3 linked regions of the Arabidopsis thaliana genome follow. The protein of the gene in region 2 interacts with the protein of the main gene of each other region in a pairwise test. Each region holds a gene or a part of one and is shown on either strand. Other genes may lie near its edges. The genes, in order: AT5G53480, RAN2 and SIRANBP.

The links.
Region 1: the proteins of RAN2 (region 2) and AT5G53480 interact in a two-hybrid assay, tested with the Arabidopsis thaliana proteins (one study listed by BioGRID).
Region 3: the proteins of RAN2 (region 2) and SIRANBP interact in a two-hybrid assay, tested with the Arabidopsis thaliana proteins (one study listed by BioGRID).

Annotation. Positions count from the first base shown.
Region 1 is NC_003076.8:21,709,808-21,721,600, reverse strand, and holds AT5G53480 (ARM repeat superfamily protein), read right to left. Parts: upstream 8,357-11,793; 5' UTR 8,119-8,356; intron 7,594-8,118; 5' UTR 7,586-7,593; coding exon 5,172-7,585; intron 5,091-5,171; coding exon 4,892-5,090; 3' UTR 3,723-4,891; downstream 1-3,722. Other genes in the region: ACBP1 (acyl-CoA binding protein 1), read right to left, coding at 9,210-9,386, 9,473-9,570, 9,652-9,743, 9,947-10,035, 10,158-10,260, 10,647-11,104. UniProt on the Arabidopsis thaliana protein: Acts as a negative effector of drought tolerance. Involved in the regulation of stomatal closure and in the abscisic acid (ABA)-mediated pathway that lead to drought tolerance.
Region 2 is NC_003076.8:6,760,888-6,770,283, forward strand, and holds RAN2 (RAS-related GTP-binding nuclear protein 2), read left to right. Parts: upstream 1-1,681; 5' UTR 1,682-1,929; coding exon 1,930-1,932; intron 1,933-2,058; coding exon 2,059-2,128; intron 2,129-2,468; coding exon 2,469-2,525; intron 2,526-2,606; coding exon 2,607-2,724; intron 2,725-3,076; coding exon 3,077-3,494; 3' UTR 3,495-3,796; downstream 3,797-9,396. Other genes in the region: RAN-1 (RAS-related nuclear protein-1), read left to right, coding at 67-184, 443-860; AT5G20030 (Plant Tudor-like RNA-binding protein), read right to left, coding at 4,084-4,680, 4,766-5,149; IPT9 (isopentenyltransferase 9), read right to left, coding at 7,052-7,151, 7,242-7,381, 7,468-7,543, 7,749-7,843, 8,224-8,336, 8,566-8,791, 8,939-9,137, 9,252-9,360. UniProt on the Arabidopsis thaliana protein: GTP-binding protein involved in nucleocytoplasmic transport. Required for the import of protein into the nucleus and also for RNA export. Involved in chromatin condensation and control of cell cycle.
Region 3 is NC_003070.9:2,188,711-2,198,101, forward strand, and holds SIRANBP (Pleckstrin homology (PH) domain superfamily protein), read right to left. Parts: upstream 5,127-9,391; 5' UTR 4,979-5,126; coding exon 4,824-4,978; intron 4,704-4,823; coding exon 4,552-4,703; intron 4,446-4,551; coding exon 4,320-4,445; intron 3,904-4,319; coding exon 3,650-3,903; 3' UTR 2,969-3,649; downstream 1-2,968. Other genes in the region: AT1G07135 (glycine-rich protein), read right to left, coding at 1,447-1,914; MAPKKK13 (mitogen-activated protein kinase kinase kinase 13), read right to left, coding at 5,569-7,068.

The sequences.
Region 1 (11,793 bases), about 15 Mb from region 2:
TAAGATGGTTGGTTCTGTTTATGACAATGAAAATATGTAAAGCTCTTATCAATATAACTTTTTAAAATAAGAATATCACGTAGATATCGATTTTTTTTATATATCACAAAACAATTATCAAAAAAAGGTGAAAACAGTGGTGAGACTACTAACATCAAAATGGTGATGATAGTAGCAAGAACAAAAATGAGAAGAATAAGAAGTTATTGGGTTAACGCAATGAACCTACAGGCCACAAACCCTAGAAAAGGTTGAAAAAGTCAACTTAACTGTTGATTGTGTTACATCTCCCAAAAAGGAACACTTAACGCTTACCTCTATTTATGCTTGTGGACAAAAATCGTATATTAGCTAGTAACCTCACTTTTTTTCTTAACACACTTTTCCTTATAGCATGACATTGTTCAAATTTCAAATTCTGTATATCGTTTTTATCTTATGATTATGTTAATTAGACCGTACTAGATATACTATAGACAAAAGTCACAAAACTTTAACTACCAAACAAAAAGTTGACGTTTCTTTTAATTAGCCTTTTTTTCTTCTGGCAATCAATTTTTGATGATAGATAAATAGTTTATCTATATTGTTAATTTGCCAGATAGGAAAATGTAATTAGGAATAACAAGTTAAATCTGAGTATAGATTACTAACTGTAAATGTTTGTGAACCAAGTGAAGTGGGAACCATCAAATACTTGAATTAGAGTAAGTTGTGCCCTAAGCCATCCGAAAGGTTATATATGTGGATCAAATCATAATGAAAAAAGGTTTGTTTGATGCAAGAAAAGTGACCTAATTCATTAACTTGAGTGGAAGTTCATCTCTTGACCATATAAATTTTCATTATATCCTTTGAGTTTCATTAAAAAAAGAAAACATTTTTTTTTTATTTTACAATTTTAATCGGTTTGATCTCAAAACACTCTCTATTATACTAGTTCTTATTTCTAAGTGATGTTTCATTTTAGATGATTTTAGTCAAAACCAATATATTTTCTTAAAGGAAAAGTTTCATTCTGGTTACATGATCGATTTTAATCTAAGTTTTAACTTTTAAGCCCATTGTTTTCACCACTTTTTCCCATACAGCTGTAATGTATCATAGGTTCGATGAGTGCAGCACCACGTGTGATCTTAAGTCTACTTATTGACGCAAAATTTTATTGGAAATTGAATTCTGCTAAGATAATTGGGTCCATTATCAAAAGTAAAGATGGAATCATACCAAACTCGTACGTAATTATTGTAAGTTTTCAATGCTGTTAATGAATCAAAACGAAAGCGAAGATTTGTATCAAGGGTACACACTTTTCAAACAAAGACCCTACAAATACCCAAACTTGAACACACTTATTAATCCAATGATTATTTTCAAAACCTTTTAATCCAATTTCTGTTTGAAATTTTGGTTGTTATATTTAAATACACCATGTACAGTTGACATATTAGAACAAAGATCAGTACTAGTAAATTAAAGTTTAAATGTGGAATCAAAACATTTTCCTTGCGGTCAATGTAAATTTTACAGGGATCAAAATAGATAGACTAAGTTCAGTAAACTTCGATCACATAAACCAACATGGTAGGCAACTCCTAGACAGGGGAATAACGTAAGTAATTAGGAAGTCAAAAGATGGTTAGGGCAGATTTTAAAATCCGTGGTACCAAACACTAAATAATTTGATACAAATAAAGAGAAATAGTGGAACTAATCCTTCCATTTCGGCCTTCACAACTTTATAAGAAGTCAACTAGGATTGAGACAGACATAGCGAGTGGCCTGCAAAATGTATCAGAGAAGTGCATCTTTTTAAGTGACCCATTATTATAGTGAGAGACCACTATCCCCCAAAATCTTATTTTACAATTAATAAACATCGTTCCTCATAACATTATGTGTTTTGACCTAAAATCCATAATTCTACTAAATCCCAAAAACTAAAGAACTTTTACCCCCAAAAAGTCACCATATGAATGGTTATACTTATATATATGTGTGTGTGTATTGCACCATAACCCATATATTTTAGATTAGAAGACTTTATAAATCCCCTCTATAGATCCTTTCATATAAAAAAATGGTTTCGCACTTCAACTTTCTTAACTGGTTAATTATTTCCATCTTAAAATGTTTTCTCACAACCTCCAAGTAAATATCTGCAGTTTTCTATAAAAAATAAAATGAAACAGATTCTTTTTCAGCATCTGAATATGATAAAAACTAATATAGACTACACGTACATTAAACCAGCTAAACTGCTTAAGTAGAATCGTTGTACTATCTAAAACATTATTCACTTAACAGTTAACACATGTACGTGCAGCTCTTCTGTCCGAAGACTATGCATGACTTCACAAAAAAAAAAAAAAAAAAGGGAAAGTTCGTGAGTAGGGAAATAATCAATGTGTCGGCAATTATATGTTGCGTTTAAAAGGAGTGATGAATAAGAAACCAATGAGCCACTAAATTAGCAATGTTTTATTGGGCAACAACGTACGTGTCTTAAGTCTTAACTTCTGTTGTCCAATGTCAACTACACAGAAAGACGACGAAACGTACATCTATTAGTCTTTGACAAAAAAAAAACGTACGTCTATTAGTTAAAAAAAAAAGAGAACAAAAACACAATTTCAATACTAACATAGTTTACAACGCGAATAATAAATCACGAGACACCCACAACTAATAATTTCACTACTTTTCTTAAATATTTCCTTCGTTTTAAATTTTTAATATACAATTCATCTCATAAGTGTAGTTTTTTTTTCTGTAGAAGACGGGAGACTAAAAATTATAAGAAAAATTACAAACTTACTTGCCTTAGGCGCACATACCCAATAACATCATCGCTTAAGAGCGTATCAACATTAGAAGGAACAACATCAAAAAATGAAAGCCATCAGGCAATGAGAACGCATAGTTAGATCTATAAATGTAGTTTGAACCAAAGTTCTAGTTTTTATCCATTAAATTAGCTTATATATTAGGTTTTCGTTGTCCTACTAAACGAATTAATTTTCTTAAAAAACATCCGTTTTTTTTTTTTTTTCAGAGTTTTCTTTAATGGCGTTCATCTTCTAAGAAAGTATTTACTAATCATTATTATTTTTAAAAATGTATTGATCCGTAACCTTAAGGTAAAATGTGTTAGATAATAGCTATTGAAAGAAAAATTGGAGTTATTTTTTGTCGCAAGAAGTTCATGCTTTAATCAATAATTATGTTTCTTTTGACTAATAACTTGGATCGTAAGATTTTCTCCTTTTTTTGGCAGTTTCAGCTGACGACGCTCATATATCTTTCGGTGCTATTTCAGTATTGCATTTAAAGACTAAAGGTAAAGTTTAAAGTCGCAAAATAAAGTATTAACGCCGTAATGAAATTATTTGAATATGAAAAAAATCGTCGCGGACGACAAAAATGTTTTTTTTTTTTGTGTGTGTATCAGTGTATGTGATATATGTGGGTGTGCTTGGACAAGTCCTTTGACAATAAAAAAGGCCCACTTCGTATTACCACCATTCTTTTTCAACTCCCAATTTCAATTCAGAGTGGCGTGTCCTATTTCTCTTGGATGTTTAGCCATCATCTATCTTTTATGTGTTTTATTGTCCATTTGAGTGAGATTTAAATGGGTATGTCATCACAATGAAAAAAAAAAAAATACCAACAGAACCAACGTTTCTCTCGCCTAAATCATCAATTCGAAAAAGATATGTCGAATGAATTATGACATTATATATTTAGTTCAAGAGAAAAATTCTCGAGACGTCAGAAACATGGTTTGGGACTAATACATAGAACCGAGAGAAACTAATTTAAACCATAACTTGAATGGTCTAGAATGTTTCAAATACACATGAAAACATTTTTCAAAATATAGGTTCGGTATCAGTTGCATTTGGCGTTTGGAAAACCAAAAAAAAGCAACACATACAATCAAAATTGAGGTTTCCATAAACAGCGTGAATGTGAAATGTTCTTCGATCTCTTAACTTGACTCTTTGGAAGCAGAGTAAGGCAGGACGTTTTCTCCTATTAACATGTGCCCTTTCCCATATAGTTCGAGCCAAATCAAATAATGGATTCTAAACGATTGTAAACAGTTCCATAGTAAAATGAATAGATGTGGACCTCTTTAAGACCCTAAGACATGACACCATATAATAAAAATGTTCCTGTATGTGACATTTGAAACTTGATTGCAAACAAAACACAAGTATATATGCAAAACCCCCTAAACTGCATCATAGCAAAGAGAAGATAGACAGACATGTGAAACTTCTTTATATAAAAATAAAAATGTGAATAATGCTTTTAATCAAACATACAAACCCCCCCAAAAGACAAAATGATGATGCAAAGACTGCAACTAACCAAATAATAAAAGAAAACAAAAGAAAAAATCAAGGGATTGTCCTCTAATAATGCCCCCACTTGATAAAAACCTGAGACCTCTCCCTCCTCAAGGGGTTGAAGAACATATGAGAGAAAAGAAAAAACAAGAATGTATTATGAGATGTTCCATGAAACCTTTTTTTTTTTGGTATAACTTTGTCCCAAAACCCACCAGAAAACGACCATGACTCACTTCCTCCTCTTTCTACTCCCGGGGATTTAACCTTACCCGGGAAACTTTCACCCGTGACTCTTCCAGTTTCATTATTTACCCCAAAACTCATCATTCCCCACATCCACGACTCAACGATTCCCTGACTGACCCCAGTTATGCTGATGATGCAAATGAAACTGATGCTGATGATGCTGATGTGACTCGGATGTTGCAGCTCTACCCCTCCCCCCGACCGACTCAACCCACCCAGAGATGCATGCAGACTTTACTAAAAAGCAAAAGGAATTTTCTTTCTTATAGGCAAAAGAAGAGCCTTCAAACAGATATGGCACGGGTTATGGCATGCTTCGCCCATTCGGCTGCTTCTTTAATTGTGTGGTCTTCAGAAGACAAACATTCGTTTAAGAACTCTTTACTTGACACTGACTGTTGTATCAAACCACCCACATGACTCCCTAGTGTATCTGCTAAATCTCCTAAGACCCCAATCGCTGTCTTCATCACCACCTCGTCCCTGTCCCAAGGCAATTTTACCACAAAATTAAACAACTGCTATGACATAATAGAAATTCAGTTGGGTCGTAACCAAACTTACATGTCTTTCTCCATGTATATACTGTCCAAAAACTGGAGGATATGGGGTGCGAAAGGAATCAGGAGCTGGGTTTTGGCGGAGTTCTTGAAACCTTGAAATATGCCTGAATAAGCCTCAAGGATTCCGTTTCTCAATGAGTTTGTGTACTCCGTCATTTCATCATCAGCTCCAGCCGAGTGAGCAGATAACTCTGCGGCACTCTGAAGCATCGGCATTGAATACCTCCAGTACTTATCAAAATCCTCACCGATAGCAAGTGCTATGTCACCAAAACAGGAGAATATCGGTGGCTTCACTGATCGGTGCAATTGGTTGCTCGACAAATCTTTCAGAAGCTGTGTCATAATCCCATCGCAATAAGGTAAAATCTTGTCCTCCAATGCTCTGCAGACATCCCCAACAACACCAACAGTAACAGCACACACTTGGTATTCTTCAAAGTTTTGAAGACCCATCTCCAAGTACTTATAAAACTCAGGCATGTATTTGGCAAAATTGGGACCTGCTGCATAAGCAAGAGCACCAATGGCAAGCATGGCTTCCTCATGTGCAGTTGCACTTCTACAACCAAACACCCTCAGGAAAAGTCCCATCATTTGGTCTGCATACTCCATGAACTTAGACTTGGTTGGTTCAGATCCTAATTTCTGTATGATGACCTGCAAGCATCCACATAGAAGTCCCTGCAACTCGTTTTGTTTCTCCCTCTCATCCAATGAAAGCTTTTCCCCTTCCAAAGTATTGTGAAGCTCCATCATTATCACTGGTACTAATTGCAGAACCATGGTAGACGTTTCATCAGTTGAACACCTGACAACTTCATTCAATGCCTCATATGCTGCAGTCCGCAAGCGTGATTCAGTTGCATCCTCTCTGTGTGCAACAGCTAAAAGTGACTTAATAATTTCCTGGAAGAAGGGTGTTAACGGAGAACTGGGACCGATATCCTCATAGCCTTGAGCAAGGAAGTACAGAGCCCCACAAGCCTTCTCGGCAACATTAGGCGCATCATTCATGCTCTGGATGAGTACTGTGATTATCTGCTGGCAGTTTGCCTGATTAATAATAGGTGTCTCGATTGTTGAACCATGAAGGAACTCAAATATCCGACCAAGGGTCCATGCGGTTGTGTCTTTCACATGGTTGCTTGGGTCATTTGTTAGAGCATTGAGCATAAATGTTAACGCTGCGTTAACAATTGCCATCAACTTATCGGCAGAAGGGCCTTCCAAAATGGAACCAAAAGCATAAGTTGCAGCTTCTCGCTCTCTCCAATCAGGCTTTGATATTTTCTCTTCAATAAACGGCATGACATGTGGAACAATGTCATCTCCAACTGCCCTAGCAACCAAACCGAGGCATGTCCCACCTGCCATTGCAATATTCCAAGCCCCTTCATCCAAATCTTGATCTTCTTCTTGCTTCAGAAGAGTCTCCAGCAGTAGAGGCACAAGACCAGGGAGAGCCTGCTTAGTAAAATAAAAGCATGGAACATCAGAATCCCCAGCGAACTCACCACCATATTCTTCTAAGATGTCAATCTCTTCGTCACAAATAGAACTCCAGAACTCAATTGCCTGTAGAGCAACAGACTCGTCATCTTCTCTTACAGCCTTAGCTGTGATGTTGAATATATCTTGCATGTAATGCGCCAACTTCTCATAGTATGTGGAAGCGATAGATACCAAACACTCAAAAGCTGCCTGCCTAATTTTCACCTCAGGGGACAGGGTTGCTTCACACACAACTCTCATGATATAATCACGCTCCATGTCGTTGTTGAAATTTGCTTGGGCGAATCCGAGAGCCATGTATAAAGCACGGGTTGCAGCAAGTCTAACATCAGTATTACCTTCAGCAGCATTCATACCCTGAACAACAGCTGTGAGTATCTTATTTACATGCTCCTGTTCAACAACATCAGGTGACACTTCTTCACATAGGTATCCAAGAGTCTCCAAAGTGGCTTGCTTGACATGAGCAGGTAACTGGTGAATATTTGAGAGAAGAGACACTATGAGCTCAGGCCACTGCTTCTGTGGTAACTCAATACCTGCAACCTTAGCAATGACCTGAGATGCAGTCGAACGAACATCAGGCACAGGTGCCGACAGTGTCTTCAACAAGAAAGCTCTGATCTGCGACTTTGTTGACATGTCTAGAGCCAACCATCTCTGAACAAGCTCATACTTCCTGTGTTGTTCCTTAGCATCAAGAGCATTTTTAAGGACTAAACCAGCTAATTTCCTGCTATCTACTGGCTTCTCATCATTCGCAAGCTCTCCAGCAAGCGACAACAAGAAACCCGCAAGGTTTTGCTCCTGAAACTGCTTAAGACTTTCTTCCGCGTGCTTACGTACAGTTCCATCAATCGACTGAGCATTAATGAGCAACTGCGTAACCTCCATTGCCATAGGTTTATCTGCAACAGAAACAAACAGATTCAGCAAAACTGAAAATAAAGAAGAAGTAAGACAGAATCAGTAAATTAAGCCAACAACATGAAGAAACTCGTCAACGATCCAAAAAGCCATAAAGGTGAAAGACTACTAAATCACTATGAATCGAAAAAACCATGTAATAGCAATAAGAGATCAAAGCACGAGCCATTGACGCTTAAAAACACTGTCAGATTCAACTATAACAGCCAGAACAACAGATCCGAGCACGAAATCGAATATAAAACACGAAATCAAACTAGTTACTAAGATGACCAAATCAACAAGTTAATAGAACAAATGAATCTAACTAAAAAATCGAAAAGCAAATCTCAGATTACGAACGAGTTCAAATCATAAAACAGTGAACAAATCGAAACTAAAGTTGGAAATGGATGATTGAACGAATCGAGATCGAATCAGGAAAAAAAAAAAGCGAATTGGGAAGTGATGAATCTGAAGATGGATCTTAGGGAGAAAGTTGAATAGATGAAGTGAAGAAGGGTAACCTAGAATCTCGGCGGCGGCCGATCGGATAAAGCGGAAATCGGGGACTGGAGAGGACAAACCCTAGAAGCCCAGAAGGAAGAGAGAGAGAGAGAGAGAAGAAAAAAATCAGTTCCAGCGAAAAAGGGAAGAGAGAGAGAGAAGAGAAGAGAAGAATCGGATGTGAAGATGGACTTTAAATTTTATTATTAAACTTTTAACCAAATATTTATATAAACAAATAAAAAAACTGTTTTGAACACAAATTATGTAAATCTATTAATTTTGAAATTGTTTTCCAAACTTATATATATTTGTACTCAATTGTATATTTAGGTTTTGTTCAGTGTATCCTAATATTTTTATAAAAACTATATATAGGAAAATATCTTTTAAAATTACCCAATTAAAAAAAAGTTGTATAAATCTTCTAAATATGAAAATTTGTTTCCAATCATAATTGTTTGTTCAGTGTATCTTATTTTTTTCAAATAAAAACATAAATAGAAAAAAATCTGAATTACCCAATATATATATAAAAAGGGAAAATATTTTTCTTTATGATTTTTGCACACTAAAAATATATTTCTGATTAAAGAATTGATATAATCTGGAGTGATTATGTCGTACATCGCGTGTTGGGTGGTCCTTATCTGAACCCCACCTTATATATTCTCATCGTTAATTAATCAACGGTCCGGATTGTTTTACAGCGAGATGCGAAGAAGAAGATTTTTTTTCTTTTCTTATTCCGAAGGTACAATTTGTATCATATTTAAAATACTTATAAATTTTACAAGTAATCAACAAAATTGTTTTACAGGTATGATAATAATGATTCAGATGGCTGAAAAAACATGAAAGGGTCACGAACGAAAGAGAGAAACATTATACTAACAAAAAAAAAACTATTATTGAGTTATGATGATTGATGATGATGATCTCTCTGGGTTCAATATAGTAACCAATAAAAACTAGAGCTACTATATCATATGTAACTTGTGTTGTTGTATGTTAAAACATAAGCTTAAGAGGAAGCAAAGAGGCTCAGAGGAAATGTAAGAAAAACACAAGCATCTAGCTTTGACACACAATTTTAAAGACTTAAAAAACACTAATTGGAATCCTTCTTCTCTCGCATCCAAGACCATTCTGATTCACAGAGATCAAGAGGCGAGTTTCCGTCTTCGTCTTTAATGGTTGTATCAGCTTTCTGCTTCACCAGAAACTCGGCGAGTGCTTCTCTTTCGCACACAACAGCATAGTGTAGAGAGGTTTGGCCTTCATTGTCCTGCACAAAGTTTGTCAGCGACAAAAACATAAAAGTCTGTAATTGAGAGAAAGAATTAGTTTAGGGGGTTTTGGTTATTTATTTACTTTAGCATTCACATCTGCGTTCTTATCAACCAGAGCTTCAGCAACGTTAAGATGGCCACGGTCTATAGCCCAATGCAGTGGTGTTCGACCTTCACTATCTGACATTTCCAAGATGGAGAAACTGTTAAGTTTCCAAACCAGATCCGAACATTCTGTGAAAATGATACAAGACTACTAACCTCTTGCATTTACGGGTATGCCATTTTCTATGCATTTCAATAGATTCTCGACTTCTCCTTCTCTAGCAAAGGCGTGTATGGCGTCAATCTTCCTGGAACATGGAGTAAGAACGCAAGAATGAACAGAGCTTCTACTATGATTTAAACTAACACATGATTCTTTGATCTACCTAAGGTGAGTATTATGATATATACATTCCTTCTCTGATCTAGTCAGCTAGTCATATAGAGAAACTGAGAAAAGAAAACCAAAAGTTCATAGATGAATCTGTAACTAATTGCTTAGGAACCTTACAACTCATTGTCAGATTCCTCTTCGTACACCAATGAGCTAAAAACCGGTCCCATGGGGCCTGCAGCCTCACCACTCCGATTTCTTCGTTTCTAATAGTCCGCAACGAAGCAAACAAGCCAAGAAATAAAGACAGATTTAAGAACGAAAACAGACCATCCATAAACAGTCCAAAGAAATGGGAATAACAGAAGCAGGTAAGAAGACAACTAACCGAGCCACCTTCAACCCAAGCTGGGTAAAGCTGAGTAACAAGGTCGATATACTTCTCCATCGCTTCCTCAGGAGGCATAGCACCCAATTTCTGCCATGCTTGCCTAGAACAAAAAAGATCATAACAAATCTCAGTCGATCAAAATGCATCCCTAAGTTACCAATCAACAAAACAACAAAAGCAAATCCTTTCGGTACTCACACAAAGCAAGATACATCCAGGATGAAGAATAATCAGTACATCACAAGTAAACATGATTAAGTAACAATCTTCACAGTCATAAGATTTGAATCAGATCACTAATCAATACACCAACAAAAGCAATCCTTTCCATACATTAGCAATGAAAGATACGAACTTGGTGAAATCAAAATAATATACATCCATGATCAAGAAACATCAGTACATCACAAGTAAACATGATCAAGCAATCATCTTTCACAGTCCCAAACATTTGAATCAGAGAATCAATAAGAGTGTTAGACAAACCACTTGGCACGAGCAGTCATTTTAAGAGCTGATGGTTGAGGAGCAGTACAAGGTCCTTCAGTAGCAATTTTATACAATCCATAAAGCTGAAGTTGCAACTCATTAGAAACTTTCTGCGAAAGCCTATCCGATGCAGCAGCAGCAACAAAAGCCGTAGCAGCACTAAATGCCTCATCAAGTTCTGTACTTTCGACACCTTCCCAATCATCATCATCTGATTCATCTTCATCACCTCTCAAGCTACCTTGCTCAGCTATAAGAGAATCAGTCTCGCCGCTAATCCCAGTTAAAGTTTCGACCTTTCGCAAGTTCTCATACTCCGATTGAGTCGTGTGGTTACGAGTGAGTGAGAGATTCTCGTCTTTAAAAGCGAGGAGGATAGAGATTAGCTTAGCGAGAAGGTAAGCGAAGATCAAACCAAAGATTATAGACTGTGCAAGCTGATACCAATCAGCCATTTCCCCCAAATCGAATAAGAAAGTAAACCCAATAGAGATTCAAACACAACGAACTCGAAATCTGAGAAAATGAACCCTAAATTTCAAAGAAGGGTCACAATAACGCATCTCCAGAAACAAAAAGGAGCCACCTTTTTGGAACTCTTGTTTTCACCGCTTCACAATTTTCTTTTTCTTTACTTTTTTTTTGTTTTCTCTTTGTGGGCTTGTCTTTTGTTGAAGACCAGAGACAACTGAGGAATTACACGTAGGATTGAATGGTTGCGACGAGAGACAACTGACGAATCCGTTTGTTAATTGGACCGCTTTTCATCTACCAACTGGTTGGGACCGAGAAAAAATGAAGAAATTTGTTGGAGACAAACTACATACCGGTTTTACATACCTCAATCTTCACTGTGTAATTGAAGATCATTTTTTTCACTATTTTACTGAGCAAGTCTTATGATTCCTAACATTGTTTACAGTTTACACCACCATAAATAATATGAAAGAACACAAAGAGGGCAAAAACAAGAAGCAGGAACTGCATTACAATTCCTTAAAATTCAAACTTAGAAACAGCCATAGAGAAAAAACAAAAGGCTTTCAATTTCAGAAAGCTTTAACAAAAGAAAGCTACTGAAATCCTACAAAGAGAATGTACTTATGAATCATTATTACTTTATGGACGATAATAAACAAAAACA
Region 2 (9,396 bases):
TCAGATTTCTGTTCTTCATGTCTCTTAAATGATTCTGATTTTGAGTCGTAATCTTGTTTGTTGCAGCTACTATTGGTGTGGAGGTTCATCCATTAGATTTCTTCACAAACTGTGGCAAGATCCGTTTTTACTGCTGGGACACTGCTGGACAAGAGAAATTTGGTGGCCTTAGGGATGGATACTAGTAAGTGTGGACCCTTTACTTTCTCATTGATAGGTTAGTGTCTAGAGTCAATCTAGAGTGTGCTTAGTTTGGATTAGCTCTGGTTAGGATTTGAAATTGGCAACCGATTAACCTGGACAATGGGTATAAGACTGGTATGTTTTGAAGTATGCATAGTTTGCAACTGATTTTGTTACCTGGACAAATAGAGTAGAACTTGAATTTTAATTTTGATATTCCATCTGGATGTATAGCTAATCATCTTTGAATTTCTTGCAGCATCCATGGTCAATGTGCTATAATAATGTTTGACGTCACAGCACGGCTCACATACAAGAATGTTCCGACATGGCACCGTGATCTCTGCAGGGTGTGTGAAAACATCCCGATTGTTCTGTGTGGGAACAAAGTTGATGTGAAGAACAGGCAAGTGAAGGCAAAGCAGGTTACATTCCACAGGAAGAAGAATCTGCAGTACTATGAGATATCAGCAAAGAGCAACTACAACTTTGAGAAGCCTTTCTTGTACCTTGCTAGAAAACTGGCTGGAGACCAAAACCTTCACTTTGTGGAGACACCAGCGCTTGCTCCACCAGAGGTTCACATTGACATTGCTGATCAGCAGAAGAACGAGGCCGAGCTCTTACAGGCTGCAGCTCAACCCCTCCCCGATGACGATGATGATATCTTTGAGTAAATCATCCTTCTAGAATGTCTGCCGTGGGAAGCTCTTGCTTGTTCCTTTTGGTTTTCTCTATGTTGTTTTGGTGTTACATATAAATCAATCGGTCTTTCTTATAACAAAAATTAGGTATGTATTTTTGGATGGTTCTTCTGATGGTATCCAAAGCTAAGTTGTTTCTTCGCAAGAATATTAGTTGATTGGAAAACTTTATTCTACCTCCTATTACTTGCCAGTTCTTAGATTTCAGATGCCACTCTTTAGCTACCAGGTGATGTCATATAAACCTGGGTAAAATTAGCTGCAAGTAGATCTTGTTGGGAGACCTGACCTGCATTGACAATGGTTAAGTTCTTTGCCTTCCCCGATCTCTCTAGCTTTGCAGATTCTTCTGCAATCCTCTTCCTTTTCTTCTTTGAAACTTGATCTTCTTAATCAATCCGCACCAGAACTTGTAGAATAATAATCGGATAACTTTTTGTTTGGCAACCATTCTTGCATTGAAGAATGAAGTAACCCTTTCCCTCAAATCAACGACCGATTTCAATCCGTGATTCCAGACATTTTCTTCAACCGTGAGCTCTAAGACCAATTTCTGCAAGTTTGAGCTTAAGAATTTATCGATGTGTATATTAATTTCTGGAAATATTGTTGGTATTAATATGTTACCATTAAATTTGAAAGGCATCATTAGATGGATGTCATGTGAGTGAGTACTTGAAATTTTGAAACTATCCGTTACGGACAATAAATCCTTATTTAAATGATTTGTTAGTAAAAAACTATGCTACAAATAAAATCAAAACTTCACATACGATACAGGAAATAAATATATTATTTATTTTGTCAAAACTCAAAACCAGGACCTAAAGCTGAAAAAAAAAAGATCCAACGGTGCAGAAAGCTGCGTAGATATTGGAGAGCCAAAAGATGGAATCTAACGGTGGAAAAAATAGCGTCAAACCTAAGCCAAAACCTCCCAAAATTCTCCTTATTAAAACCCCATCTCTCTCCCTAGTCCCTCTCGCCGCATCGCTTCTTAAACCTCGACGACATCAACGTCTGACTTCGCTTCTCCTCTCACATGGTGAACATTCTCTTCTCTTTTCCCGATTTCTTCGTCTTGTAGTATTTAGATCTCACGAGATCGCTTAATTTCGTTGATGTTTCTTTTTTCGGATTTTACTGAATTTTGTTGTGATATCTTGTTCAGGCTCTACCTAACCAACAAACCGTAGATTATCCTAGCTTCAAGCTCGTCATCGTTGGTGATGGAGGCACAGGTACAGTATTCTTCGCCGTGTTTTTTGACCTATTGTTTTTTGTGATCTCTGAAATTTGATCGTCTTTTCACTGTCCCCATCTGAAAGCATTCTCGTTTAAGAGACGGATTTGAGATTTTGATGATGTGCTGATTAGATTTGTACGATTGGTTTTTGATAATATCAATGTTTGATTGGTTTTAAAGAGAACCTTACAGACTAGGCCTTCGTTGAGCAGATCTTTGGGATATCGATTCTTAGATGATCCGGAATGTTGTTTTCATTGGCTCAGTTTTAGTATGGTTCAATGTTTTTGATTAGTTCTTGCTAAACCTATGATTGCTCTTGGTGTTTTGTACAGGGAAAACGACCTTTGTGAAGAGACATCTTACTGGGGAGTTTGAGAAGAAGTATGAACGTAAGTATAGCAAAGATGCTTGTGAATGCACAATTTCTGTGAACATCATCTGATGTTGAGTCCTAATCTTGTTTGTTGCAGCTACTATTGGTGTGGAGGTTCATCCTTTGGATTTCTTCACAAACTGCGGAAAGATCCGTTTTTACTGCTGGGATACTGCTGGACAAGAGAAATTTGGTGGCCTTAGGGATGGATACTAGTAAGTATACATATCTCCATTGATATGTTTGTGTGTATACTCAATCTAGAGTGTGTATAGTTTGGATTAGCTCTGGTTGGTTTGTGCGTAAAATTGGCAACCGATTTGTTACCTGGACGGTGGGAATAGGAATCGTATGTTGTTGAAGTAATCTGTTAAGATCTCAATATCTATTAAAGTTTGCATTGTTTTGATTAGCGCTGGTTAGGTTGTGAAATTCAAGAACCATCTCACATGTCATGTTTGCAACTATTGTTACCTGGACAATAGGAATAGCTGACTGGGACTTGAATGATAATGGTTTGTTTGATATTCCATCTGGATATATTGCTAATCTTCGGTTTTCTTGCAGCATCCATGGTCAATGTGCGATAATAATGTTTGACGTCACAGCAAGGCTCACATACAAGAATGTTCCGACATGGCATCGTGATCTTTGCAGGGTGTGTGAAAACATCCCGATTGTTCTGTGTGGAAACAAAGTCGATGTGAAGAACAGGCAAGTGAAGGCAAAGCAAGTCACATTCCACAGGAAGAAGAATCTGCAGTACTATGAGATATCAGCAAAGAGCAACTACAACTTCGAGAAGCCTTTCTTGTACCTTGCTAGGAAACTGGCTGGAGACCAGAACCTTCACTTTGTGGAGTCACCAGCTCTTGCTCCACCAGAGGTTCACCTTGACATTGCTGCTCAGCAGCAGAATGAGGCCGATCTTGCAGCTGCTGCAGCTCAGCCTCTCCCCGATGATGATGATGACGCATTTGAGTAAAATCTTCCAAAAATGTCTGCTGTGGTTTTCCTCTATGATGTTTTTTGAGTTGATGTTACATATAAATCAATCGGTCTATTTTAGAACCAAAATTGGGGGAATTATTTGGATTGTTCTGTTTTTTGGGACCCAAAGAGAATTTGCAGTCAAGTTTTTTCTGCCTTAAAGAATATGCGGTTATTGGAAAACTTTGATTCTACCCACTTTTCTTTTACTTTGCCAGTTGCAACATTTTAGATTTTGTAACTATTGTAGCTACTTGGTCATATGAATCAAACATAAAAGGAGAATATTTAGCTGTGCTACTTGAAATTGTTAGTTTAATCACTAGTGTTTCAATTACGTACACAAATCTTCTCATCTCCTTTTTTATGTATAGCTTTTAGGCCATGGCATGAATCATATATACATTGCTAGTCTTCCTCAAGTCCAACGCAAAGATAAAAGAGTAAAGATGATCAAATTTTCTTTCACAAGTTTGGAATTAAATCAAAAAACCTGAATGAAAAATAAAATGACATTTGTACAATCTACACTCAGTTTTTATTCTATGTAACACAAACTGTAGTTCTCAATGCTGCTGCTGCTGCTATCTGTATATAGTACTGTTATCGTCAGAGATAAGGTTTCTTATCTGCATCAGATGTTCCTCATTCGAAATGTTCAATTTGAGACGGAGATTTGTAATCCACGTTTCTTGTTCCCATGTTATGATTGGTCCGGATGCGTGCAATCTCTCGATACTGCTTCGGTATGCATCCAGCTCTAACCTATGAACATCAGCAGCCTCTGAGCCTTTTCTTGGAACCACCAACTTCTTGACCTTCCCGTAGCCACAAGACGATGACTCTGTGTCACTAGAGTTACCGGTTTCAATGGGATTGAATGAAACAGCACTGAGACCATCAGTATCCATGCAACAACTACCAACAGAAGAAGCAACACTCTCTCTATCTTCTTCTTCTTCTTTCACTTCTTCACGAAACCTTGGAGGATAAGCAGCTAAAGCTCTAGTTTGATTGTGAGGTTCAACCAAAGAGTAAGTCCGTTTCTTTAGACCTACTGACAAAGGTACATCAGACTCATCAAGCTTGTCTTTGCTCTCAGATGAAATGTAGTCGCCTTTCGGATTCACCTTTCTCCTTAGTTCTCCTGTTGAAGTCTGTGCGCTTAATCTTGATGTACCCTTCAGCCAAATGGTAAAATAAACAAAATGTCAGCTCAAAAACAGACTTTAAAAAGATATAGTCACAGAGGAAAGAAACAAGTACCTGTCCAATCATGATCCACTCGTTATCTTGCCAAGATTGTCTAACCCGAATATCGGATTTAGTCACCTTGAACTTCAGTGAGGAACCAAGTAATCTAACCAAGAAACAACCGTTTCCTAAAACCTTGGAAACGATTGCCATCTTCCACGAACAACTTTGGAAAACCTCAAGAATGTCACCAGGACACCAAGCATCAAGAACTTGTAAACGAGGAGGCTCAGGCCTCATACTCTTCCTCGGTACCCTCTCTGTACCATCATTATGATCATACATGACAGTGTAGTAATGCCCATTTCCTGATATGATCTCTGCAGACCGCCAGGCGCCAGATGGAACCGATGATTTGCTCAACACTTCGACTTTAGTTCCCTTGTTGAATCTCATGATTGCTGCTTCAAAAACACCTTAAAGTAAATATCTTTTCACATTCCAACTGCTTATAAAGATCAGAATTGAACATCACATATGCTAAAAGGCTGGTGCTTCACAATCATTAAGCAACAAAACAAGATAAATACATCCAAATATCCAGAAACAAGTTGGACCAATAAGATCCATTAGACTCATTCACATCCAAAAAATTCAACTTCAACCAATTGGTATAAAGATTACAGATTGTTTTGCTTCATAATCACTAGATTGCAGAAAAAGTCCTAAATTGCAAAAAACCAAATCCAGAAGCATACAATGGCTTGAAATGTTAATGAAATTGAAAACAGAGTATGACTCAGTTCCTAGGATCAATCTTCATTACTGAGAAATTGATTAGGGGAAGAGAATCAAAAATCTTTAAGCGGACATGAAGAGACTTAAAACTCAAAAATTCAAATTAAAAAAAAAAGAAAAAAAAAATAAATTTGAGATTGTGATTGTGATTACCTGAAAACGAAGTTTTAGTTTTTAGGTTAGTGAATGTTTAACACGCAAAGAAAGCCATGAATGATTCTACTGCCAGAAACAACAAAGCTTTGTTTTTTTTTCTTTGATATTTCTGGGCAACCAAACTTGGATCAAAAGGGCAAATAAAACAAAATTAAAAACGTATATGCAAATAATTATCAAAAGGAACAAAAAAGATAAATGTATATTCCACATCAGCAGCAGCAAGCCAAAAATCATTTTTTAAATGAAAATATTTTTAAGAAAATGAAGAAGAGAATATTTCAAGTTGCATGAGAAATAGCCTTTTTGTTTCATTTTATTTGATATGGGACTATTTTGTGTAAAATAACCAAAAAAAATGTAATTTGATAAGTGAGAATAACTTGATGGTTTGTTGGAAGATATGTAAAAGATTAAAAGTTGAATTTGTTATGTTTTCTTATATTTGAGATATCTAAAAGAGAATTGTTTCAACATTAATTAGACCTCTATGATTTGGTTTATTTTTCATAGGAGTGGTGTATAGCATTTAATTAATTCAATGAATGATTTTGATATGAGTTGACCAAAAGAAAAAGAAGATTAATTGGAAACATGATGTTGTAATCTAGGTGTTGATCAGCCTAAGATAACACTAAACATAACGAAAGTGCAAAATTTATAAATTTAATCACCTTATCTGAAAGTTATCATTATTTTGAGACTAACATATCCCTTGCTCGTCTTATTGGTTCGACATATCAAATACTTACACACTTATGTACGTAATTATAGGATAATCATAGTCTGTAATTCATAGTATAACAGTTTATCAATATGTATTGACGTTACGTTATTTGTTTGTTTCTAGGTGAGCACGAGCAAAGTGCGTGTTCCGGTGTGCCAAAAGTTTCGACATATTTACTTAATTTAAAAACAGTTATTAGAAAAAGAAGGAAAAAAAAACGTAATGGGGATGGTCAGGTCAGGTGGCTTTACATAATTCCCAATTCACTTTTGAGTTTTTGGTCATAAAAAATATTATCGAGATCGTAGGGTCCATATTTTTTGGCTTCTAACGATCAAATTTTATATTTTAGTTTGTCTTTCCCTTGCAGTACTTATTCATATCTTCTTGATTTCACAACGGATTGTGTCATCACCTGAACAATAGTGTTAGAATTATTTGAATGCGACTCCTAATGGTTCATAAGATTTTACAACTTTTGAATTTCTCTTTTTTGGAAATCATTATTGCTTCCTAATTGTATGAGCTCATGAATAAAGAAGGGTGTGCAATATTTTCTTCATACGTGTACTCAAGAACATGATCCAAAATCTTGTCTACTCGTAAAAAGTTTATAAGCAAAACACACTTTTGTTTTGGTTTTGGTTTTGGCTTTTCCGGATAAAATGAAGCAGTGTTTATGCTATTGCGCTTTCCACGCATGAAGCTTCACTCTTACATCCTTCACTCCTGATCCATTCTAACACCGAAGAACAGTCCTCTCGTCTTACGAAATGCCTTCATTAAGAGATTCAACCCATTACCAAACGAAGAAGAATTTAATAACCAAAAGAAAGCCTAATTTAGTGTTATGTTTGATCTTTGTACCTGTTTTTGGAGCGATACCCCTTTAGTTCAGAAGCTTCTCGAGAATCTCTTACGTCTTTGCTCATTCTTAGAGACTCCGGTATCTCCACCATCTCTGCTTCGCTCTCATAAGCATCGTATATGCATTGAAGTATTGAATCCTGCCAGAACAATGAATTATCACAATGCTTGGTTGATAGTATATAAGAGACTGAATAGAACAGAGAGAGCCCTCTTAAACATATACCAGAGGTTTGGAAGCATTGAGCCAGTGGTACATAGGCTCACACCGGAACCATGTCATTTGCCTTTTTGCAAAGTTTCTGCGTATCAAGCAAACCAAGTATTAGTTTAAAAGCGATAAGAGAGGATAACATGGGTTCTTTAAACTTTTGCAGGAGACAAAAAGTGAAGAAATGAATCAATGTGAAAGAATCAAAACAGAACTTCGACTTTCATTTATTCTCAATCACTATTTCGTCCAAAAGCTAATACACTAGATATTTCAAGTCTATGTAGAGGATTCACCTGGATGCTGTCTGAAATTTGTTCAAGAAAGCATAAAATTCTCTAGGGGAACTTTCGCCCTCATATCGACGACATTGTAATAGATATTCCATGGCCTGAAAACAAGGAATCATATTTCCATTGTTGATCAAAAACGGTATCAAAGTACGACAAATAAATTGCAATGATGAAGTCGTAAAGTATTTCATTTTTCCAACTAAATAAGAATGGACTTCCTTTCTGAACCAACTTGGTATAAGTGGATGATGATATATGCTAATAGTAATGGCTATATGTCTTAAACCGAAAAATAACTGTTATATAACATGGAGTCATGCAATTTCTAGAACCAAATCCATATTCTTCACTGAACTGGACATGCTGCCAAATTAACAGCTACAATCCACTGCAGAGCCCTTGGCTAATTATAAAGACTATGCACTAGATTAACAGAAGAAAGCCTTCTCTTCTCAGTTCGTTATTCACAACCCAGTACAGGAAATAAAGAGTTCACCTGTCTGTACCCAATGGCACGAGTTGCAGGATTTGAGTTTGGAAGAAGACCAAGATCAAGAAGCCATCTAGCTTCTGACAAAACTCCATTGGGTCCTGAGTTGAGAGACAAAGCACCAAGGAAAGATAAACTCAGAAGCAATGCCAAGCAAATATATACAAAATTGCATACGACACAGCAAAGAGCATGCAAATTGTCTCTTTTTTGGGTTATAATTAGAAGAATCAGATAAGAAAAGACTTATTACTGTAAGGTGCCATGCAATGGGGCTGCAATTGTATTCTTGCAAGTTATTACTAATTAAGTAGTAGCACTTATTTTTACCTGAAAGCATGTCTTCACATCTGAAATCAATAGATCTGTAGAGAGCAACCCGTGGGCTTGACAAGAAAAAACAAAGAAAGTCATAGTCCAAATCTGTCTCTATGTTTTGGATAGAGATATCGGCAGATGAACCGTCCTCAAGGAAGTCATCAGCATCAGGAGCAACTAAATTTACTCGAAAGGAATCATAAGGAATGCGAAAGGAAGACGGAGGCGATCCAGTTGACTGCCAGGAAAAAACATTCAAAGCAAGATTAATAGTGCATAGTTGCATACAATCCAAAATAAAACAATGATAGTTCATCAACCTATCAGGCAAGAAATCATTTATCTACAAGGGCAAGACAACAGTTGAAGTTAATAATTGTCAAACCTTGAGTATCTCGAGGCTACGGCGTAGTCTGTACCAATCATTACGAGGTAAAGAAGAAGCTTTTGGATCACCAGCATTGACCACCAACTCCACAGCTGCGTCCCAGTTATATTCGGTTTGAAAACCAACTAGCATATCATGGGCCTCAGCGATAACTTCTGGAGAAGGTTTAGGCACATCCGGCTTCCCATACATAAACCTAACATTAACAAAAGCATGTAAATGGATGAATTCTAGATTTTGCAGTATACTATAATTGCTTTTAACATTATACGAAAGAGCCACTAGACAAGTATATAATCTACAGCCATACCATCGCAGATACAATCCAGTTCCACCCGTAACAATGGGAACACGCCCTCTATTAAGAATATCTTTGGTAGCTTGCCTTCCATCATCATAAAATTGCCCCACAGAGTAGTCTAACAAAGCATGGAAAAATGTGTAAGTTTCTTCCT
Region 3 (9,391 bases), on a different chromosome or scaffold from region 2:
AATTGAGCAAAAGGTTATACATGAAAGGAAGCTCCTACAATATGTAAGCAAATTCACGTACTTTTTATTCGACAGATCACACAAATACATGCAGATTAGCACAGGCTATGGTCTTAATGTCTTCAGCCCTTGACCAAGACAAATAATTTTTTTTTTAAAGGACTTTTTTGTTATGCATGTGGAGAAATTTTGGGTATTTTTAGAATTTTTTTAATTTTTTACTTTTTGAAAATTCTTTGCACTTTTGTTAAAAATAATAATAACAAAATAATAAATAATCATTTAGAAAAAAGCCCATTTTAATATATTTTGAAGAAAAATCTGGATTCTTTTATCAATCATCTTCGGATCTTAAAAACATAAAATTGTTGGCCTTATAATTTTTTTTATATAAACACTTTAGTAAATATAATTTTTTTAATATACTACTTGATGTGTTATTTATTAATTTTAATTTTGTTAATATATTAACGAATATCAAATTTTAATTTATATTTTGTTTTTCAACTCTAACTTATTCTCTGATCCAATGATGTAAAATAATTTGAACATAAATTGACCAAAATGGCACTCTTAGTCTAAATCACAGCTTTGAAGGTGAGATTATCTTTTGTTACAAAGTAAGTTAAACATCATGACTTGCCCTTGTTGCACTACCGATTTCTCCGAGTTTCTCCATAACTCGCTGGTGAGTCGAGAAGTTATGGACGTATAGTCTTTCGGAGGAAAGAGGACAAAGTCTGAAAAGGATTAAAAATTTCATATTGAATTTAAAATTGAACCACCAAATAAGAAGATCAAGCTAAACAACGACTGTGTTAATGTTGAAAACTAAGAAATTAGAGTTAGTATAATAAATGAATAACTCTATGTTTAAGTTTCTTTTGGTCTCTATGTTTAAGTTTATTTTGTAATATTTCGTATGCAAAATCTTTGAAAACCATATGTATTGCGATTTTATTATTTTGGTCTTTATTTCAAATTTATTAGAAATTTCTCAAGAAAAAAAGATAAGTTAAACGCTGAGTTTTACCATCATTAGTCTTTTTTTTATATAATTGATAGTCTAAACACACAACAGAGGAGAACCAAATTTGAATCTAATAAGCCCACAATAATTGGCCAATGAAGAATAATAATAATCATGATGATTAAATCATCCATTGGTCACTTTAACAAGTTAGCGTTTAAAAGATATAACGTTTAAGATTGAGGGAGGTTTAAATTTCACAATTTCTTATTTCATTAAATTTCCATTTACAAATGGCATACTAAAGATAACTCACTCTTAATACTACCAGTAGAATCCTGCTAAGAATCTCTTTCTACATATAATATTAACAGTCTACACCTTAATGTACCGTTTGCCCAAATAAATATCAGACCGGACCACAAACATAAACGTTACAAAACCAATAAATAAATGGCCAATAATTACTCTGAACCCTACTGAACCAAGACTAAACCGGCTAAAACCGATAAAGCCAACCAACAGACCGCACACATTGTTCCTCGAAGATTCATGCTGCCGCTTGATCTATGTGATCCTGCCGATCCACCACCCAGACTGCCATTACCACCACCCGTATGAATCGGAACCACCCCTCCGCCGCGTTTCCAGTCACGGCTGCGGCTACTACTGCTGCCACCTCCTCCTCCCCTGCTCCTACCGCCGCTTCGTGCTCCACCGCCTCCGCGTCCTCCACCTCCTCCACCTCCTCCTTTTTTGATAACGACAGCTAATTCCCGAGCCTTTCCTTCAAACACAACAACGTCTGGCTTTGAAACACTAAAAGGGAGAGTCTCGTGGTTTGTATCGACTGAGGAAGGTCGTGAGCTCACGGAAGGAAGATTGTGCTGAAGATGAAAGATGAAGAGAATGTACAAAACCAACCATGTTCTTCTCAAACCCATTTTCTTTATCTTTTCTCTTGTTTTGTCTGTATTATATCTCACTTTCCCCTTTGATCTATTTATATAAGCCTCAGAAAGAAATTAAACGCGGCAAAAGTGGTTGCCAGCAGTTTCGACGTAGTCTCTCATTATGATGCTGCCACGAAAATATCCAAAAAAGATTTATTTCTTTTTTAAAAAAAGAAATATCCAATAAAGATTTATTATACTTATCCATATTTATATTTATTGACCTTTGTTTTAAACAATATAGATTTTATGAAGGAGCACACAAACTAAAAAAAAAGTAAGGTTAATTAGGAGATAAGTGTTTCCAGATGTCGTGGATGGAAAAGAATTAATCCATCTAAATTCATTTCTGGTATCATGTTAATGAAAAATCAGTTAGATAGCAAATAGAATAAAAATGAAGGAAATAAATAGCATGATTATAAAAAGGTTTGGCCGCGTGTACAAGTTGACTGTCAGGGTCAATTTTGGGTTATAGAGCAAAGAAAAGTGGACCATATTGATGACAACTTTCACATGTCTACCATTCTTGATTTTCAGAATTTGAATCTTTTGATATGTTATATTCCCTAAATATTTATCAGGAAATATCTTATTACAAAACCTGATATTTTCTGTCAATTTGTTTTTTTTTTTGTAAATTATTTTTTAAATAGCACACAAATATTAATGTGTTTAAAGTTAGAACTCAAACCAATTTATTGCGATTTTCTTAAAGAAGTTTAGATAATAAGACCTAAAGTGAAAACAGAAACTATTTTCTTCTTTTTAGGGTTTACATATATTAAATTATAAGTAACCTGTCATCTTTTTAGTGAATAATCAATTTTTTTTTCCATAAAAAAATCTTACAAAAAAAAAAAGTTGACATATTTGAATTTATCCAATTAAGGGGGTATAATTCAATCAAATTAAAATTTAAAATCCAAATTTAATAAAGTTTGAAATCCAAGCAATTCATTGTTATGTTTAAATATGGTGTTATAGGAATGGTTTATATGTTTGTATTATTCCAAATTTATTTTAAAAGTGTTATAAATTTAATAAAATCTTAACCTAAGCATAATCCATTGTTATTCATTCACATATGGTCTTACTGGATATGATTTATATAAATCATGCTTTGGTAATTTTAGCACAGTATAGTACAATGTCATTTTTTTTCCGTGAACAGTTCGTTATAACTGAAGAATTTTATGAATACTGTTAATATACATTTTGGATCTTTATCAGGGTCAAGACTAGCATCGACTAACACAAGAGAGCAAAGTAGATTGGCAATTACCTTTTTTTTGTCAAACAATTGGCAATTACCTTAAGATTAAAAAATCACATGCATTAAATTTTGAAAAAAAAAAAATGGAGACTTCTGATTCTTGTCCATGGACAAACACATTTGTATCCTCAAAATAAGACCATCCAAAAAGGATCCATGAGAAAACTTAAAACAATGAAACCAATGTACTCTTTCAGATAACCAACATGAAAAAATATTTCACCCAAATCTCTCATATCACCCGACACTTTAGACTCAAAAACTATTAGACCCATAACGACTCAGCATTCAGTAAAACCCGACCCCAAGCGATCCCCCAACCACTTGATATGACTCGACAAAACATGTATAGATAGATAGTGCCAAGACAATGGTAGACTCATGATGCATCAAAACATTTCGAGGCTTAATTACCTCGCCAGGATTTGGCAACTTAAATGATGACGCTTCTTATGTTGAGGGACCACTTTCTTCTGTTTTCTTTGCTTCACCAGATTTCTCTGCCTCGCTCTCTTTCTTTTCTTCTGCTTTCACTTCAGTCTTTGCCGTCTCCACAGCTTTCGCTTCGGTTTTCTCCTCCGTTTTTGTCTCTTCCACAGTCAATTTCTCAAGAAGGCCAGCAGTGTCAGCGGCATCTTTGCTCTCTTCTTTCTCTTCTTCAGACTCAGCAACTTCCTTGAACTTTTGCATAAATGTTTTGCAATCTGACAAGGAAAATAAGATTTGATTACCCACAAGCATCTCTACTTTTCCCGGTTAATATGATCAACAGCTCAGAAACTACTGATAATATTTACCCAAAATAAAAAAAGAAACAGTCGACCATGTTGGCATATCAAATTAGTTGCAGCCTAAATACATACTTGACCACCTCAAGAACAATATTATCTCTTTACAATGCAATACCACAACCTAACCGCCACAGTACTTATTTTGATATTTCCTGAACCCAATAACGCATGCCTATGATGGAAGCTTTGAGAACCTCCAATTAACAAAGTAGCCATATAGCAATGCTAAGGTCAAGATCCATCAGTAATCTAATCCGTGAATCTATCAAACCAACTGAGACTAAATAAGGCAAAACACAAGCCATTACAAAATTCGGTTTCATACTCACTCTCAATAGAAGCAAATCGGATACAGAAAAGCTCATCCTTGAGTTCACCATCAGCAAAGTCACGAGCGTGCCACACACATGACTTTTCATTCCCAACGTGTTCCTGAACACTCATGCCCGATTTAACTGCAGAAATATCAGAAGCATAAGACTAGATAAGGAAACAGTAACCTAAATACAGATCCAGATGCAACTCAAAAACAACACAAAGTAGTCCAAATAGAAATTATACCGAAGTGATTAGCACAGATCTTCAAAGTTTTAGATTGCCTCATAACGAGACGAATCTTCCCAGTGTTCTTATGCTTTAAGAACTTCACAGTACCAGCTCCTCTCTCCTTCCACTGATTCGCATCCTTATCGAATCGATAAAGCTTCGATTTCCTTTAGATTCACAAACAAAAATTCAGTCAAACACACCAAAAGCTAAACCTTATAAATTCGATCAGATCCAGTTGACCTAGATCAGAAAAACTATAAACACCAATTAAGAAAAACACTTACAGATCAAGGACGGCATCTTCGTCTTCCTCGCCGGTAGTGACGGCAACCTCCTCAAGCCTAACGATCGGAGCGACCTGAGCTCCGGTGTCCTCATCCTCGTTAGCTCCGGCCTCTTCCTCGTCTCTGTGCTCGTGCTCGGGTTCGTTGGTCGCCATAGTATTTACTGAGATTTCCTCGTGGATTCAATTGGTCGCTACGGTGCGGCGTACGCGAGAGAGATAGAGAGAAGAGAATTTGGGGGTTTCGCAACACAGGAAATCGGAACGACTCATAGTTATACGGCGTTGAATTGAAGCTAACTATGGGCCGATTTCTTATGACAAAAAATATATATGGCCCATATAAACCCATTGTATCTGGGTTATTTTTAAAGCTATTTATCTCAAGGGAAATTAATCCTTTTTTAGAGAAATCTTAATGATTTATAGCATAGAGATTAGAGAAAAATCTTAAAGATCGAAAAAAGAATATGATGATATGCTTGAGCTAAACTCTATGTAACGACTTCGTTCAGTTTGATACATAATCGTACATGCATAACCTTGGTCCTTCAGGCCTAGTCGAAACAAACAACCATCTTCAACCGGTCCGGTTCCCTCTATGATTCATTTAAATGCTCCAAAATCCGAATACTTATTAGGATGAATCAAAAGTCTTCTAAAGCATAAAACCAAAGTCTCTTTTGGCCTCTTGAGTCTTCCACCAGCTTACGAACCAAAACCATTTGTCGCAATATTTTTTCACATTAAAATACAACTATTTGGCTGTAAACGAGAGTTATCAATATAAGGCAATGGCTCGTAATTAAGACACTCGATCTCATCTCACCGCGTAAAAGATAGTTTTGTCCGATCCGAATCACATGTGCAAACAAACAAAACTTGAGGCTGTGATTAAAAGACAACGTTTCGAGTTTATTGCTTTGATTATACTGATACAACAAATACATAGTGAGAACAATTTCCCTAAAGATACATGTAGTATAAACCATAATTTCCATTAATAAATGTAAAACCACCACAAATTCATATGGCAGCGCCGCCGCCGATCCCCCGTTTCCAGGCGGTAAATTCTGAGACATAGAAACGTCAATTATCGCCGAGTCACCAGCCACGTCATCGTTTGGATCCGATGATGTGTTATATTCCGATTCTACCCTTGTGGATCCCGAATATTCCATTGTTGTCCCTTCCTCTTCCGAAGCGTGGCATCTAACTTCCACCCAACCATCTGACTCCCAAATTACTCCTCCGGTCGTCGCCAAATTACAAATTATTGCCTTCGCCGCGTCTTCGAATTCTGATCTCCCTACTTCCTCTTCTTCTTCTTCTAAGTCAAACCCCGAGTTGACCCAGTCAAGTACGCAACGCGGAGATGACTCAGTCGGAGATGAGTTGTGACACTGAGAGAGAAATGGATGCTGCAAAAGCTGATCGCAACTCCACCTCTGATTCGGGTCTCGCTTCAGACACTTTTCTAGGAAATCACGGCCGATTTCCGACAACTTCGAGGGGAAAACCGGTAACTCGTCAGAGAAACTGATTCGACTCAGCGAGTCAATTCCGTGGTCTTCCCAAGCGGGTTTCCCAGTGAACATCTCGATGATCGTGCAGCCGAGAGACCAGACGTCACTCTCCGGACCTTGGTACTCTCGTCTGATCACCTCCGGAGCCATCCAAAGCGGACTTCCACGTGGCGTGATCAGAGCCCTCGGTGTGTGGATTCTGAACGCCGACCCAAAATCGGCTAACTTGACCATGGAGCTTTGGCTGACGAGGATGTTCCTCGCCTTGACGTCGCAGTGAACGAATCCTTGAGAGTGTACGTGGCGGAGAGCAGAGACAAGACACGCCGTGTAACGCTGGAGCAGAGTCTCGTCTTCGATTTTTCCTCCGGCTCTGTGACTAGCCACGTCACCGTTTGGGAGATACTCTAAGTAGAGATTCCTAAACGTCGTCGTTCCTTCTTTCGAGACTCCGTCGCCGAGAAACTTCACGATGTAAGGGTGAGGCTTTAGCGAGCGGAAGACAGATATTTCGTTCTCGAGAGACTCTGATTGAGTGGGGAGACTCGTGGCGAGATCCACGGATTTCACGGCGAAAACTTCACCGTTGGTTTTGCTGATCGCCGTACTAACTGCACCGAAACAACCTCTGCCGATACACGCACCACGAACCCAAAAAGAAGATGGTGAGGATAACATTAAAGAAGAAGAACAAGTGTTTCTGATGCTCTGTTTCTCCATGTGTGCCAACTTTCATATGTCGTACTTGTGCAACACGAAGCTATTTATATGCGTGTTTTGGAACTGCAAAACAGAAAATGTGAACGTGAAATAAAGTTGCAATTTTTTTTGTTTCTGACATGGACTATTCTTGTACACTTGTCTTTTCGATTTGTAAAGTCTCATCTTTGTAAAATTTCCCACGTGGATATGTCATGTACAACACAAACTTTCGAGTCTATCATTAGATTTTTGAACAAATTATACCATGTTCGATGGTCGGTTTGGATTTTAACAATTTTAATTATATATACATCTATTGAAATCTAGACTTAATCCTTACAAATTTTTTACTTTTATGGAATGATTAGTCGTTTTGAAAAGAGAACAAATAAATCAGAAAAAGGATCATTTTAGAAATTAGAAGAAAATGTTTTATGTCACTCCTAATGACACTTGGAGAAGTTCTTGGGATGTTTTTAAGAAACAATGCACTTGCCCTGTCTCCTTAATCCTTATCCACCAAGACTCAAGTTGCGGTTTGATCTTGTCCGCTAATATTTTACTCAGCAAAGATAAAATCACACACACCCTCTAGCTTCACGCAATCGTTTTCGTTTTTATAACCTCAACATTTAAAAAATCGTCTCTTTACTTAAGTGATCGGATCACCGATCGTGGAGAAGACAAATGAACAAAAACGTGCCTATAGATTTGGAACGCTTGATTTATTGACTTATTTCTGGTATGTTTCTATTTGGTTGACCTGAAGACATGATCAGACATGGAATATACGGTAGTCGACGTACGTACAAATCATTATCAAGGATTCATGAATCCAAACCATGTCTTAGCCAATCATAAGCAATGGACATAAATTAATTTATATTCGTCAAACAATTAACATAAAGAAGGTGAGGGTGTACAGTAACAGAATATATACGCGAAGTAGATGATATCCGAATAAATTATCGGAGTTGTCAAAGGGGTTGGAGATGAAGGAAGAGGTTGCCGAAAGGGGTTGGGTTTTAAAAATGGGGGTCCATTTGGAAACTTACGTGGCATGAAGCGGTTGGCTCACGTTCTTTGACATATTAACGAGTTGTCTGAACACACATATTGGGAATTGACGTGCTTGATCAACCTCCACGCATAGTGAAAATATTATATTAGTTTTTATTCTTTGTTTGGTTGGGATCATGAAGGAAGCACAAGAATTTACTCAAAAACGTTATCCAAAGATATCACGGAGATCGAGTTGAAGATGGAAGGTAGAAAATAAAAGATAGGGTTTTAACTTTTAATTGAGGAGATCGTTGGTTGGGAATTAATCTTGGGATGGTTAATAGCCAGATCACTACAATAGTATCTTTCTTGGGATTTATAGTGGGTTGGTAGTGGTAGAAAGATCAAAGTTTTGATAACATATCAATTTAGTGTTTTGAAACTACGATTGAAGTTTGGTCAAAGCTTGCTAATGATTTAGCTAACCATTAGAATTCGAACTTTTATGCATGCACTATAATCTTTCTTTGATCTTTGAATTATTTCAAAATACAGAAACCTTTCTTCCATTAATTCCAAAAGAAAAAAAATGCCGCCGCAACTAAATTATATATGTACTTTGTTTGTTGTTTCTCTGGCCAAGCTTTGACCTTCCGCGAACGTGAAGTGCTATTTGAACGGTCCACCACTGCTTCCATATCCTCTTAGGGCAACTAATTTCACCTTTTATATATGTGTGGGTGAATAAATTACTAGAAATGTCCAAAACATAAGATATTATTTGAAGATTTTTAGGACCCATACCATATTTTCCAATTTGCATGTCTAGGAGAATCCACTTGGAAAACAACTTAAGAAAATGACATTGCACTATGTACTTAATACCGTACTAAACTTTCAGACTTTTCAATATTTTATAGGATTAAGGTAATGGCTAAGAGCCTAAGATATTTATGAACTAACGTAGTTAAGAAATACGCGTCCATATAAACGTAAAAGTAAAAAACTTTCAAAACATGAATTTTATGAACTCTTGAAACAAACCAGTACTAGCCTACACATTTAAGTCGATCCACATTATCTCATAAAAGAGTAGTAATATATAATGTATTGAGTGGTAAAGTACTCACATACAACTTACAAGCCTTAACGAGTTTTTACATAGAAGACCTATAAGGCTATAAGGATTATCAATAGAGAGTAAAGACAGTCTAAGATGGTATACACAAGTATCATAACAGCTCAAATGACTAAATGAAGTTAAAAACGAATAAAAGAATATGTGAATCATTCACAGTGAATGCTTAGAAAACAATAAAAAATAAAATGTAAGAAATTA